2 linked regions of the Saccharomyces cerevisiae S288C genome follow. Each later gene encodes a partner of the first gene's protein in a complex. Each region holds a gene or a part of one and is shown on either strand. Other genes may lie near its edges.

Region 1 (5,447 bases):
TCCTTGACATTGTCTAAAATCTCATTAAAACGGTCTCCCCATTCAGGCCAATTCGCCTTATATTGACCTTTCTCATCGAGGTTCTGTTGTTTGATATTTTCAATAGAAGTTGGGTCTCTTTTGAAAATTCTGCTAATATACCTTTTCGTTCTATTATGGAATTCGGAATCACCGATCCATTGACTGGAGAAAAGATCACCCATAACAGTCACCACCTGAGGCTTCAGTCTCTGCTGCATCATATCATAGATGTGACCAAGATAGTAGTCATTACCGTATGTATCTAATCGGGACACATATGGCGTCTTTGGCCAGATGCCTTTAATCTGAGGATCACCGAAGGCCAAAATATGAATATCCTCATCGTTACCTGCAGAGGCATGGCTACCATGCCATTGCTCTCGAACATCACTGAAGTAATTCTTCACTTTGTCCACAAAAGTCAAATCTTTCTGTAGTGGTGCGTTCTTGTTAGAGCAGTTCCATGAACACTGTTCTGGATGGAAAGATGGATAAGTATAGATGTAAATATTAGCGACGATAGTGAGGAAGGTGGCAAAATATGCAAACTTCTTGACCGCACACCTGAGCATCTTGGGATTCTTGGTACAATGCTGCTGCTGTTGTTTTCAGTTCTTCAATCGCGACCGGATAAATCGCTTGTAATAACTTAGTTTGCAATTTTTCTTAAAACTTCAGAAATCAAGTCACAATTGTAATGAATAATTTGGAAAACACAAGTCACCAAAAATAGCTCAATATTTGATAGTGACTAGGGGAGGAATCTAGCAAAAAAAACGTTCTTTATCTATATGAATATTTAGAAATTAAGATATGTAATTACTTTAAGATGTTCCGAGTAAGCAGAGGCGTTTCGCTCTATTTAAGCAACTGTTCCATTTTCATCTGCGCCAAATGATAAACAGTGTTGATTTCTCTTTCCAGGGCATTAATAAACAGAGTATAAATTTTAAATGCGTAGTATCTATTTGACATGACGAAATTGTAGAAATTCAACAGGTCCACAGTCAAAAACTGCTGCGAACCACGCATATAAATACCGATACATGTTACTACCAACGTCAAATACAGGAATCTTTTGACCAGAGTAATGAAGTTCATCAACAACTTGTAAAAGACATAAAATGTGAAGAAAATAAACAATAGTTGGAAAACTAACGGGTGTGATTGGCTGAACTTAGTAATAGTAGGAATCAACCATTGGATGACGTCAATGGCAGACTTTAGGCATTGTGTTACTACGGATAGTTCGTATTGCGGTTGAGTAGCGTCCATTTTTGGGTTGCTCACTTTGCCCTTTGGTGACTGTTACGAAATTTTTTTCAGTAGCTTTTTCTCTTCCAGTAATTATATTTTCTCTACAAAAAATATACTCACTACAAAAGCCAGCAAATAAATGATAATATTCGTACGACACTAGAGAATATGATATTGTATTAAGTAAATATATATATATAGAGAAGGAGAGAGAAAGACAAGAACAGGGCGGCTATTAAGCGTCGTCTTCGTCATTCATAGAGATAGCTGTCTGTGGCTTTTCTTCTTCTGCAACCTCAGGCTTTGCTTCCGGCTCTTCCGCAAATGAGTTGGATAGGAACTCTTTCATTAGGCCAGCCGAGGTTTCAAAATACTCAGCTTGAGCCTTGGCCAATTCCTTCAAATCTTCACTGAAGTTAGCGTGAGAAATAACCTCCTGCAAGCACACAGTAGCGTCTTCAGTGACTTGAGCAAACTGGTCTTCCAAAGTCTCCATTTGGACTCTCAAGGAAGCTTCCTTTTCTGGCTTCTTGTTGTTTGCCAAGTTAGTTCTTGCCACGTCATATCTTAATCTCATGGAATGGACATCCTTGCGGCACTTATCGGCCTTACCGATCTCAAAAGAGAGCCTTTCCCTCAAATTTTTATTGAATTTGGTTTGAATCAAGGTATCTTGTTGAATTCTAGCTTGAGCAATCTTAGCCTGCACATCACTGAATTGCAAGAGTGCCGAAGCCAAGGGTTGTTCCTCGGTGGGGAACATCTTGTTCAAACATTCACTGGAGTTCAAAGCCACTTTACTGAGGGCGTAGTTCAACGTCTTGGGTTCTTTGATGGGGCCTGGAGCAACTAAGATGTTTTGTGCCTCAGACGCAGATGTAGCATGAGTCAACTCTGTCAACTTGGAAGCCACGCTTCTTGAAAACTCGTTGACGGATTCGTTGATGTATTTAGGGTAATCGTACGATCCGTTTTCGTAGATAGCAGTTACACCCAAGAAGTGGTTGTAAATCAGTTTGATGGTGTCAACCTTATCTTCCAGCTCTGTGTACTCTCTTGGCAATTGGGAGATGTCCGTCACCTGGCCCAAACGTTCCTGGACCATTCTTTGGGTGGATTGCGCCAAACTGGGCAATTCCTGGGTTTTTTCGGAAACACTTGTGGATATTTCCTGTAATTTCTTGCTCAAAGAGCTGGCGAAGGCATTAAACGACATTGATGACTATGATTTGTTGCTTATTCCACTCCTCTGCCTACAAATCATATAGGTTATAGGTGAAGAAGGTTGCAATTTTCTTGTTTTTGACATCCCGATTAATCCACCGCTCGCTTCTCACGGTAATAAGGGAAAATGTCTGCCAGTATGAAGCAAACAACATTAAACTGAGAACATTGGTGAGTCAAGACCATAACTGGAAGACGTGGTATCAAGACGCCTTCACGGTAGTATGTGGAAGATTATGCGTTCATGGAAATGTGGGGGAATGCGCTGGGCACATCGCCAGCGACCCTCACACGAGCTGCTGTCGCAACTGTCGTTCGACCAGCATTACAAGATTAGGTCGAACATTGAGCTGCTGATACAGGACTACGCTAGTAAACCAATTGCGCCCCTAAACTACGAGTATTTCCTGCAATACAGGCCGCCGCTGACCAAGAAGGAGGAGTACATGCTGACGATCAAGACAATCAACCTGTTGCTTTCATTGACGTGTAAACGGCTTAATGCCATTCAGAGGCTACCGTATAATGCGGTAATCAACCCTCATATTGAGAGAACCAACTCTTTGTATTTGAAAAGCTTGCAAACGTTGCTATCAATCGCATACCCGTACGAGTTGCACAATCCTCCCAAGATACAGGCCAAGTTCACAGAACTGCTGGACGACCACGAGGACGCCATTGTGGTATTGGCAAAAGGTCTTCAGGAAATCCAATCGTGTTACCCAAAGTTTCAAATTTCGCAGTTCTTGAACTTCCACCTGAAGGAGAGAATCACGATGAAGCTGCTTGTGACGCACTATTTGTCGTTGATGGCACAGAACAAAGGTGACACGAACAAAAGGATGATTGGAATCTTGCACCGGGACCTCCCCATAGCACAATTGATCAAGCACGTTTCTGATTATGTCAATGATATATGCTTTGTGAAGTTCAACACTCAGCGGACCCCGGTCCTAATTCACCCGCCATCACAAGACATCACATTCACGTGCATTCCGCCCATTCTGGAGTATATTATGACAGAGGTATTCAAGAACGCTTTTGAAGCTCAGATAGCTCTTGGAAAGGAACATATGCCCATAGAGATCAATCTTTTAAAGCCAGACGATGACGAGCTGTACTTACGGATACGGGACCATGGTGGTGGGATCACGCCCGAGGTAGAGGCCCTCATGTTCAACTACTCTTACTCTACACATACCCAACAATCAGCTGACTCTGAGTCTACAGATCTGCCCGGCGAGCAAATCAACAACGTCTCCGGCATGGGCTTTGGTCTACCAATGTGCAAGACGTACCTAGAACTGTTTGGGGGCAAGATTGACGTTCAAAGTTTACTTGGCTGGGGCACGGACGTGTACATCAAGCTCAAAGGCCCTTCTAAGACTGCACTACTCTCCAAAAAGTAACAGTGCTAAATTTCCTCGTAAAGCGGTACCATTAAGGGCTCTTTCTACTTCTTTAAATTATCTACATATGTATAAATATTCTTATTATATAAGGCGAAAAAATGAACGAGAAAAAAAAGTGTTGAAAGTATGCATTCAACTGGCTCTTCAACAAGAGACTCAATCAATTAAGCAATCGAAGATGGCTATTGATGCTCAAAAGCTTGTGGTGGTCATCGTGATCGTGGTCGTGCCTTTGCTCTTCAAGTTCATTATCGGACCGAAGACCAAGCCTGTGCTGGATCCCAAAAGGAATGACTTCCAATCATTTCCGCTGGTTGAAAAAACCATCTTAACGCATAATACTTCGATGTACAAGTTCGGGCTACCTCATGCTGACGACGTACTCGGTTTACCAATTGGTCAGCATATCGTAATTAAGGCCAATATCAATGGTAAGGATATTACCAGATCGTATACGCCCACATCGTTGGATGGAGATACAAAGGGAAACTTTGAATTACTAGTGAAGTCTTACCCCACAGGTAACGTTTCTAAGATGATTGGAGAGTTGAAGATAGGTGACTCGATCCAGATCAAGGGCCCTCGTGGGAACTATCATTATGAGAGAAACTGCCGTTCCCATCTAGGGATGATTGCTGGTGGTACTGGTATTGCGCCCATGTATCAGATCATGAAAGCTATTGCCATGGACCCTCACGACACTACCAAGGTCTCTCTAGTCTTTGGGAACGTCCATGAGGAGGATATTCTGTTGAAGAAGGAACTGGAAGCGTTGGTGGCCATGAAGCCTTCCCAATTTAAGATAGTTTACTACTTAGACTCTCCTGACCGTGAAGACTGGACTGGTGGTGTAGGATACATTACCAAGGATGTCATCAAGGAACACTTGCCCGCTGCTACAATGGACAACGTTCAAATTTTGATCTGTGGTCCTCCAGCCATGGTTGCCTCAGTTAGAAGAAGTACCGTGGACTTGGGGTTCAGACGTTCCAAACCGCTTTCCAAGATGGAAGACCAGGTGTTTGTGTTTTAAGATAAGGAACTGTAACAGAGTGCCATATATATATATATAGATTGGAACATATATAATATATACGCTATTTAGTTTAGTCACCTAAACGCACCGTTTCCATATTTCGTGCTGGACGATTTTCGACTCGATAATACGTATAAGATCGGTACTAATAGTAACAAAAGTAAAGGTAATACTTGCTTCAACTGTACAAAGGAGCATAGAACGTGGGGCAATTTACAAGCGATGTCGACGTCAGTCCCAGTCAAGAAGGCATTAAGTGCTCTTTTACGCGATCCAGGAAACAGTCATTGTGCCGACTGTAAGGCGCAACTACATCCACGCTGGGCTTCCTGGTCACTTGGTGTTTTCATTTGCATTAAATGTGCTGGTATACATAGATCATTGGGAACGCACATTTCGAAAGTGAAATCTGTTGATCTGGATACATGGAAGGAAGAACATTTGGTGAAACTGATACAGTTCAAAAACAATTTAAGAGCTAACTCATACTACGAAGC
Region 2 (4,467 bases), 100 kb from region 1:
AAAGTGACTCTTGCTCTTTTCTCATTTCCAAGGCCAGACTTCTTATGACGTTCTCACTACCCTGAGAAATGAACCACGCAGTCAGATCATCCAAGAGAACTTTGTCGTAGACGTAGTAAACATCATGGAAACGAAATGTTTCATGAATGTCCAAAAGCGCCCTTATGACTAGTCTCTTACCACCTCGTAGAATATAATATACGAATGTCCACGCTTTCATTGCTAGGTCATAGTTTCTATGTAGTGGATAACTCAGGGCTCTCCTGATACCTGTAATGATTGCAATCTTGATGAGAGAGCTGTCTTTATTAACCTTTGATATTTCTTTCATACCGTCTTGCAGTTCGTTCACCTGTTTTAATTGTTGGTCTAAGAATGATATTTGAGGGCACAATTTTCCCATGGTCCAAGCACTCTCTGTGGTATGAGTACCTTCGTTTTCGATCTGTTCAAACACATAACTGAAAAGAACGCTGAGTATAGTGACATAAAGTGGTTTTATATCTTCCACGAGATAAGACTTCTTGGGTAAATTGTCCTGCATCTGTTTTTGTTCCTCGTCAGTAAACTCAATTGGCATGACCAGATTTGGGTTCGTACTGTCTTTGTACCATTGCAGGTATTGCTTTACGATCGAAGGTGTAAACTTCAGTAGTTCTTTAATGCCGTTAATTTCCAAGTCTTCCTCGTTACCGTATTTATGTGTCATATACTCGGAAACATAGTACTCAGGATCAAACTTCAAATTTTCTTTTCTTAACCTTTCAATAACTCTATCGTTCGCGTCAGTGTGTTCAGGATCGTCTAATTCATTGATATCGTTCCCGTTGCTTGTCGACACTGATATAACTGTATCATATAAGTTATCAAACCCATATTTTGTCTTCAATATTCCATTATTGGTGCTGGAATCCATCTTTTGCTCTATCTCCCAATTAAACCCCTCTCCCATTTGACCAATAGTCTTCACATCATCTTTAATATTATTCGACACGCCATCAGTTTCGACCTCTTGAATAAGGGGCTTTTGGGTTTTTTTCGCATCAGTATTTTCTGTTAATGCATCGGCACCTGCAAGATCGCCTTGCCTAGCCAACAACTTTGTCGGTAGGTCCAAATCTTCGAAATATTCATTTTTATTCAGTTTGGCTACTTTTACATTGATGCATTCATCTTTGGAATCGTATTGAGCGGTAGACCTCTCATCATCGATTAATTCGTGAGGAAATCTTAATCTTAAATAGTAAGGGGATAAGTGAAAAATGATCATATTTTCTTGGATGATTATCTCTAAACCCACTGCACTGAACCTAATATTACTTATGAATATTTTGAGAAATATAAATTCCTCATCCTGTGTTATAGAGAATCTTGGTGTTATCATTATAGTTCAGAAGTGATGGTAGATTATAGCAAGTATTCTTCTTTTGTGAATCTTAATATTACTCTGAGCACTTGACACTGAATATTTAGTATTCAAAATTTTTCAGCTGATTTTTGCGATGCGATGGTGATGAAAAAAAAAACATGTAGTAGTAATAACAATCAAATAAAATAAGTGAAATCTCATGAACTATCTGCTGCGAATTTTAAGGATAATCGGATAGCTTGAAGCATTTCTTTTTCGTAATGAGTGGCTCTACAGAATCTAAAAAACAACCAAGAAGAAGATTTATTGGGAGAAAATCTGGCAACAGTAATAATGACAAATTAACTACAGTGGCTGAAAATGGCAACGAAATAATCCACAAGCAAAAGAGTAGAATCGCCCTAGGTAGGAGTGTTAATCATGTGCCAGAAGATATATTGAATGACAAAGAGTTGAATGAAGCCATCAAATTATTGCCCTCTAACTACAACTTTGAAATCCACAAAACTGTGTGGAATATCAGGAAATATAATGCTAAAAGAATAGCCCTACAGATGCCTGAAGGTTTGCTGATTTACTCATTGATTATAAGTGACATTTTGGAACAGTTCTGTGGTGTTGAAACTCTAGTAATGGGGGATGTGTCTTATGGTGCATGCTGTATTGATGATTTTACTGCTAGGGCATTGGATTGCGATTTTATTGTGCATTACGCTCATTCGTGTTTAGTTCCTATTGACGTTACAAAGATTAAAGTACTATATGTCTTTGTTACTATAAATATTCAAGAAGATCATATTATCAAAACGCTGCAGAAGAATTTTCCTAAGGGATCTAGAATCGCTACATTTGGTACCATTCAGTTTAATCCTGCGGTACACAGCGTCAGAGATAAACTGCTTAACGATGAAGAACACATGCTGTATATTATTCCACCACAAATCAAGCCTCTATCGAGGGGTGAAGTATTGGGGTGTACTTCTGAAAGATTAGATAAAGAACAATACGATGCCATGGTATTCATCGGTGATGGTAGATTTCATTTGGAGTCTGCAATGATACATAATCCGGAAATTCCTGCATTCAAGTATGACCCATACAACAGAAAGTTCACTAGAGAAGGATACGATCAAAAGCAACTCGTGGAAGTTAGAGCAGAGGCCATTGAAGTCGCTCGGAAGGGTAAAGTTTTTGGTCTGATCTTAGGTGCATTAGGTAGACAAGGTAATTTAAACACTGTAAAAAACTTGGAAAAAAACCTGATCGCAGCAGGTAAAACCGTGGTGAAAATTATTCTAAGTGAAGTTTTTCCCCAAAAGCTCGCAATGTTCGATCAAATTGATGTTTTTGTTCAGGTCGCATGTCCTAGACTGTCCATCGATTGGGGTTATGCCTTCAATAAACCACTATTAACACCATATGAGGCTAGTGTCTTACTAAAGAAAGATGTCATGTTCAGCGAAAAATATTATCCAATGGATTATTACGAAGCTAAAGGATACGGGCGTGGGGAAACTCCGAAACATGCGATTGAATAGTTTAAATAGTTTTTGTTGTCACTTGTCTTCCTGTTACATATGTATAAATAGTTAGTATCATATTCTTCGGAGCATCTTTTCTATTGTTTAAACGTTTTTGACGGCTTGCAGGCGAAACTAAATTGTCTAAAATTCAAAACAATGCCTTCTAACTTGATATCACTGCTGGTCAAGCCTATTTTTATTCTGGTTTCTCAGGCAAACCCAAATGATATTGTCAAATTTTTCACTGAGTTTGCCAAGCATATTTCCATGGACTTTTGTATGGAAACCGTGATGAGAAATCCGGGATTTCTCATCGAGGAAAGAAGTGACTCGAGCCTCTTAAGGCTTAGATTAAACTTTTTTCTTTTTATCGCTGCGTATAAGCAATACACCTAAAACAGAACCAGTTAAAGTAAACCCGATCAACAGTAAGAAGATGGGCAGGAAAATTGCAACATTGCTAGAAATGGGGAAGAGTAAACTCACAACTGGATTGGAGTTCTCGATCTCGAAGATAGGCAGGAGCGACCATATGACATAATAAGTAAAAAGAAGGCAAATAATTACAAAACGGTTCATGAAACTAAACAGACGTTTACTATGCCCAACCGGTGACTATTCACATTTTTGAGCTAGTATTGCATTTAGAGTACACGCAGTCATCAACAGTTTCTTTGTATCTCTTTCAAATATATTCCTTTACACGGGAATGCTAGCGGAAATGAATGTAAGGCGGAAAAGCTCTCCGTGCGAAACTATTCTTTTAGACACTGAATAAAGTTGTAGCCTCATTCCATAATCTGGGTCAGATTTTATGAAAATGTAGTTATTTCTGTTAGTTGCTGGGTTCTACGATATTCTGCTGCGTGGTTTAGCTTTCATACTTGATTTTTACTCCTTCATCACTCCATATAGGTTGGATATGGCTGAATCTGTTTTTATCGAGGCACCCTTATGAACATAAACAACAGTATCCCGTCTAAGAAATACTTTCGCTACAATGACTTCGAAAATTAGGAGTTGACTGTGGCTTCAGGTCATCACATTGAGTTCAGTATATTCCATCCAAACGTCGAGGCAGGTTGCCGTTGAAGATGTGCTGGCCCGCTTACAGGCCCATGTTTAACAGCAATTGCACCACATGCATGTCACATATGCATGTCACATATTAGCCCTAATTGTCTAGTGGAATTTTCGCAGTAAGAATCAAATGTGTTTAAAAGTCATAGCATTGATGAACAGCTTACTCGTATCTCTCTATTTGATTTGGACAATAGCTTGAGCAAACGTTGGCAAAACAGCTGCTCTGAATAATGGTCAGCAATTAAATTTGCTTTTTTTGCGTACGGCTGTTCAGATATACTATTGTTGGAATAATAATCAATCGTCTATTGACTAATGTTTTCATACGTATTATTACTGCCTTCATGAAATAAGTAACCCTAAATTTTTATCACAACATTCTAATGTTCTTCATTTTCTGTAAAGAAAGAGCAGGACTGTGGCAGAATAGTACCATTTTCATCAGCAAATGTGAGGCTATGCCATTATTTGCGAATGCTATGAACCTACTGC

The links. The genes of interacting proteins can lie anywhere in the genome.
Region 2: CBR1 (region 1) and DPH1 share a complex: the UniProt entries of both Saccharomyces cerevisiae proteins name them as parts of the 2-(3-amino-3-carboxypropyl)histidine synthase complex.

The regions. Positions count from the first base shown.
Region 1 is NC_001141.2:273,572-279,018, reverse strand, and holds CBR1 (cytochrome-b5 reductase), read left to right. Parts: upstream 1-4,092; coding exon 4,093-4,947; downstream 4,948-5,447. Other genes in the region: TED1 (Ted1p), read right to left, coding at 1-593; APQ12 (Apq12p), read right to left, coding at 880-1,296; GVP36 (Gvp36p), read right to left, coding at 1,514-2,494; protein kinase PKP1, read left to right, coding at 2,727-3,911; GTPase-activating protein AGE2, read left to right, coding at 5,173-5,447. UniProt on the Saccharomyces cerevisiae protein: NADH-dependent reductase for KTI11/DPH3 and cytochrome b5. Required for the first step of diphthamide biosynthesis, a post-translational modification of histidine which occurs in elongation factor 2.
Region 2 is NC_001141.2:170,122-174,588, forward strand, and holds DPH1 (2-(3-amino-3-carboxypropyl)histidine synthase), read left to right. Parts: upstream 1-1,629; coding exon 1,630-2,907; downstream 2,908-4,467. Other genes in the region: Hsp90 cochaperone SHQ1, read right to left, coding at 1-1,384; YIL102C-A (uncharacterized protein), read right to left, coding at 3,244-3,471; YIL102C (uncharacterized protein), read right to left, coding at 4,461-4,467. UniProt on the Saccharomyces cerevisiae protein: Catalyzes the first step of diphthamide biosynthesis, a post-translational modification of histidine which occurs in elongation factor 2.